Drosophila melanogaster: one gene and its partners. The protein of the gene in region 2 interacts with the protein of the main gene of each other region in a pairwise test. Each region holds a gene or a part of one and is shown on either strand. Other genes may lie near its edges.

Region 1 (6,871 bases), on a different chromosome or scaffold from region 2:
TCTCGCTCCAAAGTCTCCGTGTCCTTGCATTTGGCAAATGCATTCTCTCTGGCAGGTTGCTCCAGGAAGAACTTCATCAGTTTCTTGATGGGCTTACGGATGGCACCCGGACGCCAGCCCAGCTTTTTGGCCTCCCAGCTGTTGCTCCAGGCCCAACCATGTTGTCGGGACACAAATCCCGATCGAAGGACACATCGCTTGTGTCTGCTGGAAATATGACCCTTGTTGTTAGGTGGTATATAAGGTGGTTTCTTGGGAGCTTGGTTCTCCTTTTTGGGTTCTTGTTTCTCAGGCTTCTCCGTTTTGGGCACCGCTCGATCGCAGTTCTCGTCCAGTTCGGATAACTTCTTGGTGTCCTTGATATCGTAGAGATCGCGCAACTCGGAGAAAACTTTGGCCAAATAGGGTCGACAGTCCTCGGAGCTTTTGTTTACCACACAGTAGTCCTCCGATTCCTTTGGCTCCACTTTTGGACACTTGGGAGTCACCTGATCGCTCTTAAATATATCGGCGCACATCTTTCGGATGCGACAGTGGGCACACATTTTACCGAACTTGCAGCTGCAACGGCATGGTGGACACTCATCATCGTCGGCTCTATCTTTTTTGGCCTTTTCACACGGATCCGTGCAGTAGTCATCCACAGTGGATGGTCCTTTGCCCAAGTACTCGAGCAGGATCTGGTCGGCCGATACCTTCTTCTCCTTGTGCCTATCCTCCACCACGGGCATCGGTTTGATTCCACACTTCGGACACGCTGCAAACTTCGGCAGCCACGACATATTGGTCAGGCAGACCGGACAAAAGCGGATGGGCTTGATTTCCGGCTTCTGTCCATCGCAGTCCGCAATGGGAACCGGCATTAGGTTCTTCTCGCAGAAGTCCGGCTCGTGATCTTGGGTGGCGGGCAGGTAAACGAAGCATGGCTTGTCCGGTTTCTCGGGCAGCTCAAGAAATTGAGGAAGTTCAGGTTGGCACCAACAGGGGTTCATGCCAAAGTTGTTCGCCTCGTCGGGACTACGACACGGAGGCTTGGGAGGCGGCATGCCGGTCTGTTTGGTGATGGAATCAATCATCCGCTCGTACTCGATTGCCATTTTCTGAATTTAAAATTGTAAAATAATATAATAATATTAGGAAAATAATGTATTTTTAGTAACCTTAAGTTCACAACACGCTGGTATCCCAGATGCGTTGTTCGTCATCATATTGTATGGCTTTATACCACCACCCTGGCTGCGATATCGTTCCAGGTCCAGTCTGAGCCGCTCGTCGCCTTCCTCCGCTTCCAAATCATTTTGACAGGGTTCACAGGCACTGGGACACACCTGCGATTCACCCATTACGAACATAATATCCTGTGCATTGATGCTCCTGTCCATGTTACGGGCGCACTCGAGCTCAGGCTCACTGAAAGGGTAAACAAATATAAAATTAACTGGAATACTTAGCAACAAACATGTATGCACGTGACCATTTCGAATTACTTACTCAGCAATGCACATGACGACCAACCGGCAAAGGAACTCCAGTTTGCCGGTCACCTCGCCGCCTGCAGCCAAATCAATGACGTCCGAGTGAAGAATATCGGTCATGTCCTTTTCTATGGAGTCCACTACGCTGGAGGGGAACGATGCCTGCCCGGAGCCAATCACCTTCTTGCTGTACACCACGCTGAAGGATATCCCACAATCGTTAACTGTCTTACGAATTTCCTTTGGATCCTTTTGAAGGGAGAGACCGGCATTCGCCTTGAAATCGCTAACATTTATCTGACTATTGGTGAGGAGAAGTGGAGTTTTGAAGAAGTTTGCTGTGACTTCTAGCTTCGATGGATTGGTGAACTCGGTATTTTTGGCCTCCAAATGGGTGACTATAACATCGAATACGAAAACGGGGATGGGCTCTTTCTTTGGCTTCACCTTTTCAGGTGGTGGTTGGTCTTCTGGTTTAGTTTCTGCAATAGCTACAGCAACGGACTTCTTTTTGGGTCCCATCTCGATATCTTAAATTTCTACTGTCTGTCTGGGCTTTCTTTTATGGAGGAACTAGTCTGAGTCATTAATGTTCCAATTATAATGATTTTTTTTTACTTTAGATTTTTGAAATAGTATCTTACGACTTACTACACTAAACTTTACAATAAAACTGAGGTAGACAGTGTTCTGAATATAAAAACAAGCCCAACTCTGACCAGTTTCAAATGCAAAATGACTACCAAACACTTATGACAGAGATCAAGGCATGTTTCGTTTACTTTTGGAATTCATAATGAGTACTTCCAGTTATTCGATTCCATTTGCTTATCTTTCTGAACAACGTTCTCAATGCAAAATCTGCGGCAAGCCCTCTAAATGCTGAACTGGTTTTCTGTTGTTTCCCCAAATCTTAAAATCACAATATGTTTTCGATAAATCGAATATTTTATTAGGATATGCTGTACTGAAGGTGTTGAACAAACACTTCGTTTCTTTCCATCAAGGTCTGCATTGCGCTCCTTGTAGGATTCAGATAAGTTTTCAGCCAGAATGACCATGAACACCATGTCCCACAACTGGACCATGGCCTACAACTGGACCATGGCCTACAACTGGACCGTGTCCAACAGGACCAGCGTGTCCCACAGGTCCGTGGCCAGCATTGACTGGGTGTCCTCCGTGTCCTACAGGAACATGGCGCAGATCACCGGGAGTTGCCTGGACGGTAGCCAGGGCAATGAGGAGGAAGGCACACAGAGCAAAGAACTTCATCGTTTCAAAATTTGATACACTTTGAGGTGCTGGAAGATCTTATATACCTAATATCGTAACCGTTTACAGTTATCTTTTTTTTTATAATTTTTCGTTATTTTTTGGGTCACAAAACACTAAATTATACGAAATGTATTTCAATATATAGGTTGCCCGTTAATTAGCGATTATGAACAGGTGCGATCATTGAATACCGGTCATTCTTGTTATTTCTGCATTTGTTTGTGCAAACAAGTTTAATTATATTATTTATGGCAACTGTGCTTTGTATAAAAAATATCCAAATTTTTAAAGCCTATATTTAGGCTTTTAAGTAAATGTAAAATAGGCTTGCTGCTGAATTTGATTTATTAATACTCGACGTCGAATTGCAGATGTAAAATAATCTGTGTGTTTGTGAGATTTCATGCAACTAATCGGATCCTCCGATTAATTGCAAAATGTCCAGGAATATGTTCATTACATCCATGTAAATATTTAGGGCAGCGAATATGTACTCCTCGGGACTAATGGAGTACCTATGCTTGCCTCCCATCATCAATTGTGTATCGTAAACTAAATAAACGGAGAAGAGCAGAGCGCTCAATGAGGCATATATGGTGGTGACCATATGTCCGCCCACGAAGATGGTCACAATTCCAAAGAAGAGCAGTATTATCAGGCAGCTCACCAGGAGGCCACCCATGACGGTAAAGTCGTAACGCGTCTGCAGAGCAAAAAGGGTGAGTCCAAGGCAAACTGACGCCGTGATTAGCACGGCCATGAAAATCTCCATTGGGGCATAACGACAGGCTGCCACGCCCAGCAGAAAGGACTCGGCTATCGTGAAGGCAGATAGGAAGATGAAGTTAGCTGGGGTCTGACGACGCAGATCCTCATTGCAGCCCAGAGCCACCAGAGAGAAGACCACTATTAGTATGGCCACCACAAATATCCAGGTGCTTTCTGCCACCATCAGACGCACCCGTTTATCAGCAGTAAGTGAAACTATAACCACCAGGGAAGTGATCAGTTGGGCCAACAGGATGAGGTACACCTTCCGGATGAATCCTCGCCGGATGCTGGCGCTGCAGAATCCCAAGCCCTTGTCTGGATCATCCTGTCCGATTTCCGATCCGTAAGCTGTATATCTTCCCAGCGGAATACACTCCGCCTGGTGGCTCCGATTTCCATACTGATGTACTGGTTCTTGTAAAATATCCAGCATTGTGTCCTTCGAACACAACTTTCAAGTAACTGCTAATTCTTAATTTAATAACCTTTGTCGGAAATTGAAGTATAGTATGACAGAAGAGTCAACGTTAAATGGAATTTACTTCTTAGAAACTATAAATCTTCTTTTCATAATTAGTAACTATCATAAACATAACTTTAACTTCATTTCTTTAGAATTCGAAAATTCACAATATTATAATATTATAATAATATATATCCAATACTGTCTTCCGTCTTATATACATTTGCAGTAATGCGTATTTATTAAATTCAAACAACAATTTTATGTAAAGATTTAAATATGTGACTAATTTGAGCAAAAACGGACTTACGGATAACTAAATGACTATATGGCTATATACACTCTGCTGTTAATACTTATTATTTATACATATTTTAAATGGTTGCAAATGTACCCCTTAGTGCGTTGCAAACTTCTGTCTGAAATCATTATACCCTCTGCAAGGGCATACAAATAAATACAACAAATTCTGCTGCTAAATAGAATATTTATTCCAATATTCAAGTAGCTTTCGTGAAATTATAAATTATCCAGCAGTTTTCTTAAGGTTCCCTTCAGAGATCGCACTGGTCTCAGGAGAACTATTGGCCTGGACGGCAGCCAGGATGAGGAGCAAAAAGGCGCACAGAGCGAAGATCTTCATTTTGGTAACTTTAATGAATACAGTCTAACAGTTGGCATGGCGCTTTTATACTACCGTTTGCAGTCGATTGAGACCAGTTTATAATTTCTATATAATTAGCATATTTAATCAAATTCTTATGCTCGTATTAATAGAATTTTAGCAATACTTTGAAAACAAGTTGGATTGCGTCATTAACAATCACAAAAAATGTGCTCCCTAATATAAAATAAAATTATTTATAATACTATTATACTAATTCCTATAATTCCAAACGGCTGCCATTGTAGCTTAAGAGAAATAAAACACGCTTATTACATTTTGACTTTTAATAAAAGAATACAATTATTTCCTTGATTTTGCTCTCATTTTTTGTATTATCTTTCGCGGCAGTTCTTTCCAAACATTTTTGGTATACCGGTAAGGATCGATGGCGTTCCTAGCGGTTCCAATCGGGAGTGGTGCCTGGGCCTTCTTGCCCCACACCTTCGGGTGTCGCCAGATTACGGGCTTTCCATGCTGGCCACCACCCCGGTATCCAAAGACTCCATCCTCGAAAACGGTCTCTATATTATCGCCGAAGGCTGTGCCCATATACCGATCTCCTGCTGCGCAATCGTAGGCCCTATAGAAGTGATTGTGGGCTACTGGATATGGAGGCGGTATAACTGGTGGCTCCTTCATTGCAGTCTGGGTGCTATGATTCACCACGTTCCTAAGGGCTTTGCGCTTCGGTCTACGAGTTCCCGCCGGCGGAGTCACATCCAGATCGAACTCCAAATCGCTCTCACTTGTGTCGGTAAGCACCAAGTGGTCGGGACATGGCTCTATAAAACGCTTCTGGCACTCTTTCTTGAGAGCCTTATTCAGGTGAAATTTATCCAAGGCATCGCGACAGGTGCACATCATCAGGGACTGGTGGCACTTGCACTTCTCGAAGCCCTGATCCTTGAGAGCACGCTTGATCTGGCGCAGTGCCACCGCCATATCGCTCTTGACGATCCGGAACGTTATGGGTTTCTGTTTCATACCCAAAGTGGGCAGTGGACGAAGGGTTACGAATATATTACCATTTCGCTTGCAAATATTGAGCACGGGATGGCCAAATCGTTTCTGTTCCTCGTAATCAGCTGTTACCTTGCCGCACATATTCGGATCTCTACTTCGCATCAGGAAGTGACGCATCACATGGCCAGAGGATCGTAGGATGGCACCTGGCCGCCAGCCATTCTTCCGTGCCTCGCAACTTTTTGTCCAGTTCCAACCATGGCGACGAGACACAATGCTTGAGGACGAAATGCAGTTTTTGTGGCCAGCCTTTGGATGATGGCTTCTTCCGTCAAGTATTTTGTCTCCTGGGTATAGCGATTTGGTCAGCTCCTTGATGGATCGCCTGCTGCGGATAGTGAACAAGGACTGAGATGCGCAGCGTTCCTTAATAGCTGAAAGCTTCTTGGTGTCGTGGATATGGTACAGATTCTTTAGCTCGGAAAATACCTTCGCCAGGTAGGGAAGATCATCTTCCCCCTCAGATTCCATGACCACACAGAAATCCTCACTTGACCGGGGCTTCGGAATTCGGCGGGGAGGTTTTGGTGGACTCTTGGCGGTAAAAATGTCATCGCACATCTTGCGGATTCGGCAGTGGGGGCAGGTATTACCCTTAGAGCATGTACAACGGCATGGTGGGCACTCGGTATCGTTCCAGATCTTCCGGCGCACCTTTTCGCATGGTGGCTCACAAAAGTCCTCGACTCCGGGCGGTGCTTTTGGTTTTACTAGTTGTTCAGCCAAAATTTCTTCTGCCGTAATATTCTCGATCGGATGTCCTTGGAGTATGGGAACTGCTTTAGTATTGCATTGAGGGCATGGTGCATATTTTGGCATCCACGACATGGAGCACAAGCAGACAGGACAGAACCGTATAGGTTTCACGCCATGTAATAAGTCGGATCTAACAGAAACAGGTATGCCAGATTTCACGGGAGCAAGACTTAGAGACCGCGGTGTGTAAAATGGAGTTATGACATTCGCATCGGAAGGTGGCTCCGTAGGAACCAACGAGCTCGATTGCGGTTCCATTTCTTTGACCTTCTTGGTCACAGAGTCAATGATATTAGAATACTCCTCGGTGAGCTTTTTAAGTTGCATAAATGAGGGTTTTTGCTTGGGACAGCGGTCATCATCTGGAAAGATTGCTCGACGATTTTCCAAGCTTTTGTAGCGCTGCAAGTCCAGCTTCAGGCGTTCATCTCCTATTTC
Region 2 (7,992 bases):
GATGCGTCTGCGACCACCCACAGGCATAAGATCGCAACCTCCAGGAACATCCTGCGGTTTGTAAATAACCAAGTTATTTTAATTGCCCACACCATTTGCCAGAGGCGAGTCACTCACATAATGTTTGGCATGCGCGGAAAGTTTAAGTACTGCATCCGCTTATAAAAATCATTAAATAGCTGCCTTGTGTGAATTTTAATGGGCTGAATGCCCGTTTCTTGCTCAGCGGTTCGTCAGTGCATCGTGAAGGCGCTTTCGTTGGACTCGGGATATCCTGGTTTAATTGTTCCCTTTGAAGGATTGCAGTGTTTTTAAAAAAGAGAAAAAAAAAACAAGAACCAAGGAGGAAAACAAAAATAAACGCGACTCAACGTGAAGCTGAAGCAACAAATGTGCGACCATTCAGGGCCAGTTTAAATATACCCATGTTATCGGTCAGCGAGATTTGCATGTTATCGGTCGGCATCGGTTATTATCGGTCATAGCTGCAACAAGTCGAATGATATGCAAACAAATCGGATTTATTTTGTTCGATCGTAACATAAGATAACATCAACATAAAATAAGAAATATGATCATATGTAGAAATGCATCAGCAAACGAAAAAGGTGTTCCCCGCAACATTTTGACTATATGGCAATGCTGGCCGCTGGCTTATTTATTTATGCCATGCGCTCGACGGTCACACTGGGTGCGGAGTATCGATAACACCGCGATAGTAGCGCACCAAGCATCGATGTAGTTTTTACATCCCTATTCTGCAATATTATTTCACGGCACGGTCCAAAAACACGGATAACAGGGCTTGGTTGGAGTCGCGCAAACGCAAATAGAAGCCATGGACGTTGCCCCCGCACCGCCCGCCAGTTCCGGCGGCGATCATAGCACCCAGCAGGCGCCGATCAGTCCGAATCAAAATGCAAACCAAGCGCCGGTCGCACTCGCAAAGGCAACAACAATCGAAAATGGTGTACAAACAGGAGGAGCGAAAAAGCCAGAGAGCTGCGGTGAGAAAGCCCCCGGTTAGCAAACTTGCTCGAAGCTAGTCTAGTTTCCTGGTTAACGTTTACCTTTTAGCCGTAGAGCCGACACATTCCACTGATGCTAGCCAGAAGGACGACGACGAGGGCAAGCCGAAGACCGAGCTGGCTGACAAAGTATTGATTACCATATGCAGCGCCGATCGCAAGATCAAGAAGACCTTCATGTCGTTGCCCACTCGAAAGGATGTAATCGACAAAGGTAAGGAACGTCCGACGAATTGGGTATCTATTCATCCAGTATTCCGAATGAACGTTGCCCAGTTGGAAGTTATTAACCAGTAGACAGTCTTTAATAAGAATCTATTGGGTTTAAGCTTAGAGCATTTCTGCATTTAAAAATATAAATTTGATCAATGGGTGATATATTTATCTAGGATAGAAATTAAATAATTGTACATATTTTATTTAATTTATATCAATAATATATTTGTATTCGGTAGCTCACAAATACGGCCTGTGCGGCAACACAATTGTCCTGGAGAGCAACGGCTGCGAGATCTGCGAGGACGACGTGCTCTTGTTCGCTGCCAAGGAGAAGATTCTGTTGATGCTCCTCGCCGAGTCGGAGGAGTATGTGGTGCTTCCTCCGCCATCGCCCCTCAACCGATCCGAACGCGCCGGCAGCTCGGTGGATCCCAGCTTCTATGCCAACAACAGTATTGTGTCGAACCCGAACGATTCGACGGTCTCTAATGACGAAACCATGTCACTGTCCAGCGTAACGCCATCAAGTGCAAAGAGTTCTGCTCTATTCAAGGAGTTCTCGATACCCTGGAGCAAGGTGCCTGGGGACATAATGAAACTACTAAAGGGAAAGGGGAGTTTGGGCAAGCGGTTGAATACACTTGCGAATGTTTTGGTGGAGGCTCTCCGTGAAATATCCGCCCACATTCCCATACGGATTTTCCGGCAGGTCGCCCAACAGGCGGCTGAAAAGTACCCCGACTCCTTACTCGAAAAAGACCGCGAGGGACAGTTTATAGCCACCACTCCGCAATCGCTCATATCCAAGATGATCAACCGTAACAATGCCCTAAACAAACCCCAGAAACGCGGCAGCTCGGGAACCTTTGAGATCCACATCCCTAATAAAAAACGAAAATTCGGAGGTGGTGCTTCCAATGGTGATGCAAAATCGCTGGCTCTTAACAGGGATCTGGAGCACAAAAAGGAGTTACTAATCTCCAGCTACCGAGGCAGTTCCCCACTGGAACAGTCCGTCATAATCGAATATATGAAAGAGTGCTTTCCGTTGCAGCGCTCCTTTTTTAATAACAGCGAAAAGATCCCAGATATAACGGCCATTAAGGACAATTGGCCATATATTTTTGACAAGGCTGTGCTGTACCAGCACTTTGAGCTGCTTATGTCCATCGATCCCCGGGCTCTAGAGAAGCGCTTGGCTACCGAAAAGGATCGCTTTTTCAGGTTCTTTAAGAGTTCAAAGAACAAGAAGATCAGCTCTTTGGACGAGACCAACGCTAATTTCCTGCGTGGCATAGCGTACTATTTTAATGAGGATCCCGACTACATTTTCAAGCACCTCGAGAACAGTTCCCTTAGCAAGGAATCACTGCAAAGCACGAATCCCACAAACGCCCCCTGGGTGGCTCTAGTCAGTAAGTACACAAAAATTAATATCACTAAAAGTGTTTAAATACTTTTAAAATATTTATCTTCCCACAGATTCACCCATAACAACGGCCGACGGCGTGGAATCGCAAATGGAGGCGAAGGTCTACATTGAAGGCCAGATAATGGCCACATTCGCCGCCAAAGACGAAGACCTGCCGGACATTCTGGCCCAGTTAATCTGCTACTACTATACCTTTAACATGATGTACCCTAAGGAAGCCAATCAAACACTCGAATTTATCGTCGTTTACTTTCTGCAGCACTCGCCGGAACAAGTGCGATCGGCCAAAAAGTCTGTGACCACCAACGGCAAGTTTAACCACCTCATCGCCAAGCTTGCCAATGTACATGGCTGAGATTTCATTTGGACGATTTTTGGCTGGAACCATGGCGCAGCGAGCGCCACTTCAATCTCCTCTTGCTCCTCCCAACGGAGGAGGAGCCGAACTCTGTTTAGTTTATTTATTTTCGCCGACCTATTCCACATGTATTTGTACCACTATTTTTAAGATTTGCATAAAGTGTGTAGTAATGTTGTGTATACATTTCTGATTTGTCACCCGACAAAGAATCTTTTATTTATTTTTTAATTGAAACTTCATGTTTTGCCAGTTGGGGTTGTGAAGTCACCTAAGGGAAAATAAGCTAAACTTATTCATTATGTGGCCCTTTCTGAAACGGATTTCTCCTATTTGGTCCCTTCTTTCGATAAGGATGTGCATTATCTCGCATTTTCTGAAAGGGATGGCTACCCTTTGCTTCTTTCGCATTTGATGATTTCACATTTCGACGTGTATGATTCGAACGTTCTAATTCGAACTTGTCCTTTGTCAGCTGTCTATATTTCAAGTCCTTTAGGGCAGATTTAAGTGTTGCATTCTTTTTCGTTAAATTGAAACCCAAAGTGAGTTGCTTTCGGAAAAAGTTCCGCTCCTTAAAAGTGAAGTTCTCAACGTCCGTGGAGAGCTGTTGTTTTCTTTCCGTGGAGGGCTTCTCATCGTTGAAGGGCTCCCATGTAGTATCCTGCGACCGGTTGGCTTCTATGACATTTCGACGGTGGTTCTTCTGACGCTGCTGCATGAACTGCCTTGCGTCCTCGCTGTCCACATCCTGGTGTCCCCGGTCCGAAGAATCCGTAATTATGTCGTTCTTCACATGCTGCCAGGGCGTCGCAGTAGCTTGTGGAACGAGCGCTGGTTTCGGTTGGACATACTTCTTTGGCTTGAACTTGGTTTTGCCCCAGTCCTTGGTGCGGCTCTGCAATTGACGTTCATGGCGATCATTATCTTCTGTTTTCTTCGGATTGGTAGAATTCATAGCGTTGTTATTTGTGGTTAAACTGAATATCGTCCATCTGACCATCTGAGGTGCCAGTTTGAGAAACTATCGAATCTAGCTATATATGTTAAATCTTATAAAAACCTTCCATTGGTCACTTCACATTTTAGTCCATTACATGTATTATGTCACATATTGTCACAGTATTATATATATATATTATATTATATATAAGGTATTCAAACTTAATATACATATAATGAATAGCAGTTTTGGCTTGAAAGAAGCCACTTCGGCAGTCCCACCAACAATCGGATCTTATCGATAACCCCAATCGGCTCAACACGTGCGCCGCAACTAGGCGGTTTTATAAATATTAACAATTCCATAATGCACAACAGTGGAGGACAATCCGGCTGGAACCTTTCAGGAGAGGAAAGAAAACCGTTTTCGAATTACGGCCGCAACAATCAGCAGAGGCGCAGCAGTGGAGGCGGGGGAAGAGGCAGCCACAGCCAAAATCGCGCCGCCAATGGAAACTGGCCAGACGCTGGATCGGAAGGTGGGCAGAATGGAAACGCGTTTAACAAGTTCAGAGATCCCCAACAGGAGCTGGATAATCATCAGCCAAACAAGAGAGGGGGCCGAAGAAATAGAGGCGGTGGCGGAGGAGGTGGTGGTTGGGGTGGCAGGCGAGGGAACCGCGGCAGAGATTCCAATAGGCGTGGTGGCCGTAACAACTCGTGGCAACCTAAGGATCAGCATGTTAGTCCTGGCCAAAGTAACATGCTGTACTTCGATAATGTGGGGGACTTTACCGAAGACCCACCTCTGCCTCGATCCTCGCCTGCTCCCTCCTCTCTCAGACAGGAGAGCCTGCCACCTGTTACTTTCGCTGCGGACTTGACGCCACCACCACCTGTATCTGTTGCACCACCTGATGTGGCTGTTACGCCAGAAGAACCTACTGTGCCGCTAATCAATATCAAGAAGGAGAAAGAAATGGAGCACAAGTCAAAAATAAAGCAATTTGTCAAAGCGGAGCCCAAATCTCCTAAAAAGAAGAAGGTTAACTCCTCTAGGTCGTCATCTACTTCGGGAGAGGAGTCTGAACCCGAACCAGGGGAAATGGTAGTCAACACTAAGGCAGTGGTGGTGCCGTCCCCAAAAGCGAAGGCCATCAAAACACCTGTAGCATCAACTCCGAAACCAAAGGCTGTAAAACCAGTTTCGTCCTCCGACTCCTCAACTTCGGACAGCGACACCGATGATGAACAGAGTCATCCGCCGGCAAAGAGTAAAAAGATGGAAAAGAACACCGAGGAGGATGTTGTCTGCATGGGCTCTCAGGAGCGCCAGTTTACCATTACCGATGAGGAGGAAAGCACCGAACCTGAAGACGACAAGAAGGCCAGAAAGCAAAAAAACAAGGGTAAAACCGTGGATGTGTGTGGCATATGCGACAAGAAGGTAAATATTTTAAAAGAATGTTACCCAATTTAAAAAAATCTCTTCCAGGGCCACACCTCCTTCCAGTGTCAGATGATATGTCGTAATTGCTCCGGTAGTTATCATGGTCTCAAAAACTGTCCAAACCCGCCCAATCTAAATATTGCCATCCAGTCGTTTGTGGAGTTTGCCATGCAGCAAATGACTGCCTTTCATTGCGAGCAAGGATTTGGATTTCCTGCTGGCACAGTCACAGCTCCAGTTTCAGCAAAACCCAAAAAGGACAAAAAGGCGTCAATAAAAAAGATAAAGAAGTCTTCACAGAAAAGGATGAAGGTGGAGCCGAAAGATCATGACGAAGAAGATGACGAGGAAGATGACGACGAAGATGAAGATGACAGCAGCGAGAGCGATGACTCGGAGTCCAGCGAAGAGCCTCACCCAGCTCCTGTGTCCAAACAGAAGCGGAAACGAGGCACCAAAGCCTCCGTATCGGCCGCAGCCAGTCTACCTCCTCAAGTGTTTCCATTTCCCCTTCTAGGCGCCCCGGGCGCCCCTTTTAACTCCATGATGTATTCTTATAGAGCTCCGTTTAATTTTTCTAAATAGTTATAGCGTGAGTTAGTTGTAAAGGAACGTGAAAGATAAATACATTTTCAATACCAATGGATTTAGTTCTTTCATTTTAATATTTACGGAATTTAGGAATTACGCCTCTGTTGTTTAAAACGAGAATGAAGTTGAATTAATTTTTGTACAATACATACCGGGGAATAATATCGATAACCAGGGCAGACCTATTTATCGAAATGTATCAGCCGACGCAGCCCTGGTTTTGTGTTTTGCCAGCTGTTGCTTCCACGCTTTTGAATAAAAAATCAAATTAATAGTGTTTACTAGGAAAAACGTATGAAACTCAGTGAAAAAACTTTGCAAAAAACTTTTGGGTAAGTGTATTTACCTAAATTTATTGGTTTTCTACGATTAAATCTCAAGAGCTTTGAGTTTTTAACTAAAGGATCCAGGTGTCTGATTTTTAAAGTTATACTCAACTTATTTATAAGGAAGCATTTTAAACGATAAAAGAAAACATAGTACATAAATTTAGGACATCATATTGAAAATGAATATTCCTGGACTCTGAAGTATGTAAGTGCCTCGGAAACGAAATATACAAGTAATTTTTAGGGCTACTTCCCGCCAGAGCTAAGGCATCCTGCTTTAAGATCAATTTTCCTTGCCCTGTCTGCTTGACAGGATCCTAGGGTATGCAGAGAGCCAGGGTCTCGCGTTCCTGCTCGGTGCCGCAGGACACTGGGTGATTCTGGCCCCGGGGATCGATGCCTGGCTTGAGCATCGTCTGCTGCAGCTCCCAGATGATTTCACACGACTGGACGCTCACGGCCAGCTTAAGCACCGACTGATAGTTGAGCGGATTAACCGCATAGCTGAGGATACCCCTGGCAATCTGCTCGAACAAATAGTTCCTGTCAAGCAGAAGGAGCTCCTCTCGTACCTCCATCATACGGTTTTCAAAGTGGCACTGAATCGCTGCAAATACCAGCTTGTCCAGACCCACCAATAGATCCCGCTTAAACTTCACCAGGTAGTGCTCTATGAACACGATCTGGTTGCGATTTAGATGCGGCAGGCGCACCTTGTCCTGTATTACCTGTTCGCCGATCTGGCTGACAACCAGAGAGGCTAATGATCCCGCCGGAGTGGCCCGACGTTCGCTGCACGGGCGGACGTCCACGAACGGATGAATCTCGTAGCTGCCCACGCCAATGGTGCTGGCTACACCGCTAAATGATACATGGGAGGCGCGCGAGTGGTTTTTCGGCTGTTTGGCCATCGACGGAGGCACTTCCATGGCTTTGTGGTCTCTGGCGAATCCAATGATCTGATAAGCTTTCTGCAGGCGGAATGAATTAGTGGTATGTCAAGAGGGACTGCTATTAACACTTACGTAGTGCACATATTTCTTTGCATCGCAGACAAAATCCTTAATGCGCGAGATCAGCACCTGCAAGGCACACTCATCCTCGCTGAGATCGTCGTTTAAACCAGAAATTATGTAGTCCAGTATATATTGTGCCGCCTTATAGATGGGGTCGTCTGGTGCGAAGCTGAGAGCGGTCTGACCCTCCATGGCAATGGCTGCATTCAAGGCGTAACAAAGATCACTGTCTAACAATCCCTCAAAGGTGGCCTGATACTCATCGCAGAATGATGGCTTGCGTTCCTGAAGTGTCGACTTCTTCTTCTTGCGGCGCTTTCTTTTGGGCTGACGAGCAGTGATGGCCTTTTGAGCTCTTTCCTTAATCTCGTCCTGAATCCGTTGCCACTTTTCTCTGTAATGAGCCTTGTGCCTGTCTATAAACGCCTCTCGCTCTTTTTCCACCTCCTGCAGGAGGTATTCGATCCTACGCTGATTAGCAATTCGCTCATCAAGTCGCTTCCTCCACGACTGAATCTGGTGCTCAGTGTTCTTTACCAGCCGTTGTTTCCTCAGGATTCGCATGTTTTTGTTGAACCGATCCTTTTTGAACTGGAAGAGCTTCTTCTGTTTGATCAATAGCTTTCT
Region 3 (8,871 bases), on a different chromosome or scaffold from region 2:
CGTCAAATTGAAGCTTATTGTTGAATTGTTGGCAACTGTTAGCGGCACTTTCTCACTCAGCATTTCTTCGGTCTGGTCTTCCATCTTGCACACAGTCTCTTACCATCTGGATTCTATCCAATTTCTTGGCTGGACAAAACTTTTTATCCATGATATTGCGCTAAGCAGCAGCAGAACGATACACGCGAAGCGGTTTTCTCAAATCATTCATTCGCAACTCACCTGAAAGTAAAAGAGTCGGAAAGTACATGAGTACACTGGGAGAAAGCAATTGGAGTAGATATGATTTACAATTAAGCTAGAGAATTTAGTTCTTAGATTTATGTATGTAATGATAGCAAGTAATTTTGCCCATCATTTTGATTTGCAAATGTTGAATAAATTGAATTATTATTTATAATTGAAACATATTTTTTTTTGTTGATATTTTACCACGTTTAAGGACTCAAATTTATCGGTGTATGTGTGAGCGGCAGGCGCGTGTTTTCCATATAAAGAGGCTGCTTTGCATTGCAATTGGTGGTTATAAATTATGACCGGCCTCCCAGACATGACAGATGTATTACGTTGAAAAGTGGAAGCAACAAAAAAACAAAAAAAAAACAACAAAAAATCAGCGAGAGGAAAGAAAAGAAAAACACTTTATCAGCATGAAAAGAAAATTCACTAGATGGAAAGCAAGTGCTCGCTTGACGGGCAAGCGGAAATAAGCGATAATTGTTGCGACAATGAGAAATAATTCACAACTTTAGTTTCCGTTTTCATTATGCATGACACACAAATGGGATGAGTTAAATGCAAAAACGCTGTGCACTTTGTCAACAATATAAAGTAAGTAATACAGCCGTAATGGTGTTCATTGCAAGTGAGTTACTCTGCCGCATTTCTTTAACATCTGACAGACTTATCTTATCTATCGGATTTTATCCAACCTGCTGTATAAATTATAATTTCTGCAAGTAAATAGAATCTGTGCAGTCGGGGCAACTAGTTCACTTGGCAAAACTAGCTCAACTTGGCGATAATTACAAACGCCCGAGGGACACAAAAGTAGCACCGCAAACTCCCTTACAATTATTTTAATTTCCACAACAGGCCAACTTGCAGCCTTGCCACCCACTGCCACTGCCACTCCCACTACTCCCGCCCACTTTACTTTTTGGGGCAACCCGCACGTGAGAAGCCTGCGGCAAGTTGAAAGCCAAAAACTGCGCCTTACTCCCCACCACCAGCAAAGTGTGCTTTTGTTTACCTAAAAAGTTAAGCAATTTATTATTAAGAAAAACTTTTGCAACCAAAAGTGGAAGGAGACGTAGAATATGGCAGAGGTTACGGCCCTCATGTTTCTGGTCAAAAGAGAATTGCGTATGATAAATGGGCGTATATTAAATAGAGTGCATAACCAGCCAAAGTCAATGCCAATCGAAAGTCATCTATGGGAGTTACTCAGCTTAAAGTTGTTAATAAAGTTGTTAACAAAAAAAGAAAAAGTGTTTAGATTTTAAATACGAAGAAATTAAGTTTCGTATAAAACACGAAATGGTGTTACTCCCTTTTTCTGTATACATAACATATCCACAATTGCATTTACAATAAACAATATTTTCTTCTGGCAAACAACTAAATTCACCCGTCATCGACATCAACAAAAGGAAGTGAGCAAAATTAGCGTTTGTAAATAAATGAGCTAGTCTCGTATAGAATTCATCAGCTTAATTTACCATGCTGTCTCTATCGCACAGCGACGTTTGCTCTCTTTCTATGATATGGCAAAACCAAAAAAGAAAAACACAAGTCACATTGCACATTGAAAATCAAGTAATTAATTTCACACGGAATAAGTTTGCAAAGTTAATTGGCTTAGTGATGCCTCTTGACTGAATATGACTGGCAAAGTTGGTTAGTTGGGAAATAATAATAACAAATTAAGTTTTCCCGACTGCCAGATACTTTAGTACTCACTTTATTTGTTAACTAATTTATGTTTGTATATGAAACAAACTTAAATGATGGTTTGCTAGTTTAGTAGTTTGTTTAGTTAGTTTGTAGTTTTAAGAACTAACTAAATATGATAATATACCTTAAACTAGACATTTGGCACATTCACCTTTCGTTTGTGGTAACTTTTTCCATGAACTTTACAAGCTCCCCTCGCCCTCTTGTAATCGCATTATAGAAATCGCGAGCTTTACATGGGATTTTCTAAGGGTAAGTCAAGTGGAAGGGTTTTGGGGGGGGGGGGGGGGGTCATTTGTTTTATTATTGCTATACATGGGACAAAAATAAAGTTTTACTTTGCATATGGATGTGCATTTGATTTCCCAGCACCATTAAAACTATGTTAATTATTGTAATCTATAATCTCTATTGTCGTAATGCCCAAAGGGCTCAAAATTGTTAGCTGATATTGTCTTTGCAATTGACTGGCGGCGAATGCAGCCGTATTTAATTAAAAGCGCTAATAGTTTTAAAGTTTAAAGTTTTGTTGACGAATAATTAAATTTTCATATTTTCAAAAGATTAAAAAAAAACATAATTCTATTACTAGCATGAAATTAAGCCGTATTATTAAATAATACCACAGTTGCCAGTTGTATGCCATTTAAATGAGTATTTTATTGCATATATCATTAATCAATTTTGCTGAGTAATATGAATACATAATATTTGCGTTACAACTTTTATGTTGTATATATTACATTTGCATAAATCTTAAGTAATATCAAACTGGAGAAAAGCGAAAACCGGTTTGGGATAAACGACCCAAAATCGGTTAGAACTAGTGCCAACTAGTTTCGAGCCATAAGCGAAAGCCATTAAATCACAGTGTTATAGAAAACTATAGAACAACGCCAACTGTTATGTATACTCGGTTATACATATATGCAAATGGCGAGCAAACAAAACGTGACAAATTTAATTGGGAAACACCCACCGAAAAATACGAGCACATAAACAAGGAAACCAAAAAAAAAAAAAAAAAAAAAATAACCGAAAAAAAAACTATAACACGCCAAACACACGGTGCTTTCTCATATGAAAATTTTCCGGCTGGGAAATCGAATGAAAAGCAAATGCATTGCTCGGCGGGACGAAATGGAGGGGCAAATGGGATTGCCAAAGCGCGAATTCGTGTTTGCCGTCCAGCGTGACAATGCAGGAAAATGATTAGCCAGATAGCTCTAATAAAAGCGAGAAAAACGGAAAAACGTGAGCCGAACGCCGCCGAATCAAACACGTAAATTGAATTTTCGCAATTGTACAGCTTTCGTTTATTCTTGTTATTGCGAAAATTACACGGCAAGAGGGCAAATGAGAAATGAACCCAAACCACAATGATTTATGGCACTAAACGTTATAAAATAAATAAACGAAAAATTAGTACATAGGTAAAAAAAATATTTATTCAAGTGCTTAAACAAAATACGAAAATAGAATTATAAATGTATAGGTTTTGTAAAGAACACACGATTAAACATAATTCCAAATATATATATATATCAATATTTAAGAAATAGAAATATATTCAACTTGCATTACTTTACTCATTCAAAGTCCCAAATTTCGAATTGCATCAATGAGAATTATTGAAAAGTTGCCCCAATGCATATCTAAGTAAATTTCGAAAATTGTCTACATTTCTAATTCAAGTGCCGGCTCTTGCCAGCGTTCGTATTTTCGCCCAGTGTATACCTGTTTAACGTGGGCGCGTCGCTCGAACTGAATGCCCCCTGGATTGTGATCGGCGATGCCCATTGTAATATCTGCATTGGTAGTATTTGCATGGCTATGCGGCGTATCGCTCCCTTGGCTGTTTTCTAAGCTTTTAGCTGAACTTGTAGTAGCTGCTGTTAGCGGCGCTGCTGCTGGCAATGAAATCGAATCCACATTACCCTCCATCAAAGCCTCGGCCGCCTGAAGAATACGCGGACCGGTACTGCTTGAACCAAGTGTACTGCTTGCGGGCGCACTGCTTGGTCCGCTGTCATTGCTCAGACCAATTTCGATGACAATCTTATTCGGTTGCTGCTGTTGCAACTGTTGCTGCTGCTGCTGCTGCAGTTGGCGCTGTAGATTCTTCGGATGTGTCGCCGCCTGAATATAGTTGAGATCGCTGCGGGAAAGATGATGCTGCTGCAGCGTGGAGTACTGCTGCTCAACGAGAGCCGCCCGCGTCTGGGCCGCCTGGTGACCCCCATTGGCCGCCGCCGAATCGCTGGCCACCTTCTCGCGCAGCTTCACGATATTCGATATGTTGATGCTGTTCGTCAGCGTGATGCCCGTGATGCAGACCAGGATAATGGTCAGTACGACGCCGCAGATGACCAGGGTGGGCATGCGGAAGCATTTCCGGCTGCACATGGTCACCTTGGTGGAGGGGGATTACGGCCAGAAACGCATGCAGGCGATGGAAATCAATCGCCCAGTGAGTTAAGCAAAGTGTAGGCTTTCAAGCAATTGGATTTTAATCATTTGTTGTCCAAGGCAATTGATATTCGCATTAGATTTATATAGTCTTCGTTGGAATTATTTGCGAAATGTATTATGTATTTTTGATTTATTATTGATTTGTTTTGGTTTGTATCACTATTTTCATTTCAGTCCGTTTACTGTTTTTTTTTATTTTTGTTATTGTTCTACCATATTATGTAGTTTAATTAGCAACTGGCAAGGTGTCGTATAATTTTCTTTTATTTTCTTTAGCAATTATATTTAAAAACGATTTCTTCCAATTTTTATTTGTGTCCAACTCACGAGATTTTCAACAAATATTGGTAATCTGGTTTTTGGGCTGTTGCCAACTCGCGAGAGCGCCACACTAAATATTGTTTTCTTTACTTTATTTTCATTTGTCTTTGCTTAATTTAGCGATCGTCGCGCCTTTCAGTGCGCATTTCGAACTGCTCGCTTCAGCAGCTGAAATGCGAATGCAGCGCTGTGCTGCACTTCCTCTCTTTAGCACTGTCCCTCTGACTCTCTTTGCTCTCTAACTGTTTAGCTCTCTGAACTGCTTACTCGTTCACCTGGAGAGCTTGAAGCAGTTTTAGCTAACGCCGTCGCAGCTGCGCAGCTGTCGCAAGCAGTTAAGCATTTCCATATGTAATATTGTGTTTAATATTTTCGTTACGTTTTTTCGTTATTTTCTTTTTTCATTAACTAATTCGATTAATACTAATACTTTTCTTGTTATTTTTTTGTATTGTGCTTTCGTTGAATTTGCTGTAAATTTTTTGTTTATTTCTTTGTAGATTCATTGAAAATGTACTTCGCATTTGTTTAGTTGTTATTTCTAAACTTTATGTACTGATTGGCGTATTATTGTTGTATCTTGTTTCTGTTTAAGTTTATTGTTTATTCAAATATTTGTTTTATTTCCAATTAAAGTGCACATTTTCTCCTTATTGCTGTTATTTTTTTTACTAAAACGCTTTTAGCGATATCAATTCTGTATTTATTTTTATGAACCTTTGAAATTGGATTTGTGATTTATTTTATTGCAATCGGTTTTTATTAGCATGTTGTTTATTTTTGCCCTGGCTTGCTGTTTGCTTTTCCAAAAATACACAAATGCACAACAAAAAAAAAAAAAAAGTGTAGCTCGTTAACATTTTTTAATGTTCTTATGCAGTTGCGGTTGCTGTTGCTTTTTAGGTGTGGCAAAAGGCAATAAAATCAATTATTTTCGTCCAGTGATCGCAGCAAATTGAATTTGCAAATGCTTTTGGTCGTGTGACACATTTTTAAACGTTTTGAATTTATTGGTAATAAAATCAATTAAATTATCAAATGTATAAAGTTGCACATATTAATTGTATTCTCAACTACATCTTTAGTGATATATCGATTTTATTAACTCATTATTCGCAGTTGGCAAAATGTTAATGGAATGTTCGCCACTCCTTTCACTTTTTTTTTCCTTTCACCACCGTTCCTACATATTTCCTGAGCTATTCAACCTTGACAATATCTTGTCTCTCACTTTCTAGGCATCCAGGTGGGTCATAATGCCAACGTAATACCCTGCTATTCCCAGAAGGCTTTAGAAAACAAAGGAATATTTGACAGAAATGCGCAACTTTTTCTAAATTCAAATGCTCTACCAACGAAAAGAGCATAGTAAATGGAAAGCGAAAAAAAAACCAAAACAGACAAACAAAAAATCTGACGTATTTCTAAGTAATCATTTTATATTATTTATTTTACGTAAAGATTTTATCATATTTTACTTATAACAAAAAAAAAGTCGAGGGTATTTGCCTTCGCCTAAAATATTTCAGCTGGTTTCTGTGCTTTTCTGGCTTTGTGGGGTATTTCTTTTTTTTTTGGCCGAGGATTTAAGCATTCATTTCATGGGATCTGCACACGCGTCTTGTGTTCAGTGGGGAAAAGGGGACACTTTGCGGATTTAATTGAGCCGACACGCACGCACACACCCACTCACACACACACACCCAGCCACCCACAGTCACGTATAAATAGAGCATACATAGAAAGTTGGAAGAAATTTCATTTAATTGCATATTAACGCCTGTTGCCTAGACGAATTTATTTCGCTTCTCCTCGTCTTGGGCTGCTTAATACTTTTTCTTTTGTTTCGTTCAACAAGAAAACAGCAGCTCCTTCAGTACTTTTTTTTTCGCTATTTATTTCAATTAATGAAACTACGTCTTTTGTCGCTTAATTAATCCCAAACAAAAGGGCTCTCAACACACATTTTCTCGCAGTCGAAAATGACGGGGTAAACTGAAGGCATTTTCGGGCATTAATGGATTACATTTTCAATTAACATGCTGAGGCATTTCAATTAGTTGTAATTCGTGACAAATCGCTCTACATGTGATTAGGAAAAGGGAAGAATCGGATTTTCTAAGCCACAGAGACGTACATGTGAATTAAATAGGAAGTGAGAATAAATTCCCATAAGATTGGCTACAATGAGAAGGTGTAATTTTTTAGATACCAAAATACCCAACCATAGATAAATTTCGGCCATTTCTGCGTGGTAAATTGCATAATAACAAGATCCATCACGAATGAAGAAGAAAAAAACCACACTCATACACACAAGAAACCAAGAAGCCAGCAGCTGCATCTGAAGATATATATATATATATATATATATGTATAAGAACTGAACGATGTGCAGCAATCTTTGGCATTTCATCTTAATTATTTTCAACAGCTTTTCATAAAATTGCGGCTCAAGGCGAACGGCAAACAGATTGCATTACAACAAGTTGCACAGGGAACGTGGTGCAGTAGCAGCACGTTTAAAATCGGAAAGAGCGGAAAATTGTGGGGTGAAAACTTTATTAAATTTACGCAAGTAAATTGCAATTTATTCCCAGCTCCATTTTGTGCCCAGTTTTACACTAACAACACTTCTACTCTCACTGGGCAAAGAGTCATTTAAAATTGGATAAGACAGCCAACGTTGCGTATGCGTAATGGCCGAAAGGCGGCATAAAATAGTTGGTACTATGGTGCGTATACTTGATGTCCATGCTTTTTAGCTTAGTACATTCTAATTGGTTAATATAAACTTGTTACGTTAACGTTAAATGGACGAAAGGCGGCAAAAAAAATAGTTGGTGCAACTGTGCGTATACTTGATGTACTTTACTTTATAACTAATAACTAATACAAGTGCGTATGAACACCTATTTATATCTACCAAAAAATCTTAAATTTGCTGCTTTAAAACCTCTGAATTCCAATAAATATTTGACTTGTTTCAGTCGTATTTCACTATTAAATTACAGCCACCAAAAATTGAACTTAGGAGCTTGGTCAGCAGCATTGTTGTTCGCGTTTCGTTTGCCATTTGGCCACGAAAACATTTTTCCTGCCCGAGAACGCATTATTTTGTCATTTGCATTCGCTTTGCTCTAATTTTTTTTTTTTCCTTTTTCGTTCATTTTTGAGGGGTGGGAAGGGGGGGGGGGTGTTTCGTTTTCCCATTGCCTTTCCTCCTGCTTCTGTTTTGCCGCTTTGTTTCCGTGCATTTTTGCCCCGCAGGCTGGGCAGATGTTTTCCTTTGGCTGCATTCAAAATCCCAAATCCAATCCCAAGGCTCCTCCTTACTGCTGCCCGTGTGGCCTTGGATCAGCCAAGTCGAAGTTGCGAGGCCTCGCTTGGTTCCTTTTTCGGCCTGTCAAATTCCGCACAAATCGAGTTAACTTCTCGGTACCGGCTCGAAAAAAAGCAAAAAAAAAAAAAACCGAAAAAAAAAAATAAAAGGAAAAACACGAAAGGAAAATACAAATTCTCATTCTGCATTCTGCAATCCCGTGACCCGTAACATGTAACCCACCTTATCCCCCCGATCCCCGCTGAGTTGTGCCGCCTTCGGCTAAATCAACAAACAAACTGCGACATCATCTGCATCCGCGTGTCCTTGCAACCTGTCTCTAATTAGTGGAACTATTTGCCCAGCACAGTTGCCCCCTTTTAACCCTTTTAGTCGACTCACTTTGGCTATAATTATGCGCCTGAGATTGAAGGGTTATATCCTTCAAGATTTTGATATTTTTATTTACTTCCTTATGTAGTGAGCATATGAATGCATCTTTTTATATAGTACTATATAAGATGTTATACTTTAAAAGGTATATAGTTTCAATAGAAAATATATATATTTTTTCCAATCAAGTTCGTGACAAACTTCACGTTGCTTCTTCGACTTTATGTGCCTAAAATTTATTTGCTTTGAGCAATTGACTTTCAACCATTTTGAATGTTGAACATTCACTTGAAATGCGGATCGTGACGTTGGCAGGACAAACGGAAAGGACTCCATCTGGCCTGGTCAACGCCTTGCTGCGTACCTTGCTTGCTGTTTTTATTTGCCAGCCGGAGGAGGAGAATAGA

The links.
Region 1: the proteins of mbm (region 2) and CG42500 interact in a two-hybrid assay, tested with the Drosophila melanogaster proteins (one large-scale study listed by BioGRID).
Region 3: the proteins of mbm (region 2) and alpha-Man-Ia interact in a two-hybrid assay, tested with the Drosophila melanogaster proteins (one large-scale study listed by BioGRID).

What each region holds. Positions count from the first base shown.
Region 1 is NT_033777.3:14,149,803-14,156,673, forward strand, and holds CG42500 (uncharacterized protein), read right to left. Parts: upstream 2,849-6,871; 5' UTR 2,751-2,848; coding exon 2,520-2,750; 3' UTR 2,409-2,519; downstream 1-2,408. Other genes in the region: CG14355 (uncharacterized protein), read right to left, coding at 1-1,100, 1,161-1,410, 1,492-1,997; Recs1, read right to left, coding at 3,163-3,957; CG44215 (uncharacterized protein), read right to left, coding at 4,514-4,630; CG31533 (uncharacterized protein), read right to left, coding at 4,955-6,871.
Region 2 is NT_033779.5:269,989-277,980, reverse strand, and holds mbm (mushroom body miniature), read left to right. Parts: upstream 1-4,265; 5' UTR 4,266-4,346; coding exon 4,347-5,426; intron 5,427-5,474; coding exon 5,475-6,014; 3' UTR 6,015-6,069; downstream 6,070-7,992. Other genes in the region: smo (smoothened), read right to left, coding at 1-51, 118-155; CG17078 (uncharacterized protein), read left to right, coding at 839-1,022, 1,078-1,242, 1,484-2,662, 2,730-3,034; CG11555 (uncharacterized protein), read right to left, coding at 3,330-3,995; CG3345 (uncharacterized protein), read right to left, coding at 6,667-7,320, 7,375-7,992. UniProt on the Drosophila melanogaster protein: Required for small ribosomal subunit biogenesis in neuroblasts. Plays a role in mushroom body development.
Region 3 is NC_004354.4:10,304,200-10,313,070, forward strand, and holds the start of alpha-Man-Ia (alpha-Mannosidase class I a), read right to left. Parts: upstream 4,909-8,871; 5' UTR 4,363-4,908; coding exon 3,694-4,362; intron 1-3,693. UniProt on the Drosophila melanogaster protein: Involved in the maturation of Asn-linked oligosaccharides. Progressively trim alpha-1,2-linked mannose residues from Man(9)GlcNAc(2) to produce Man(5)GlcNAc(2).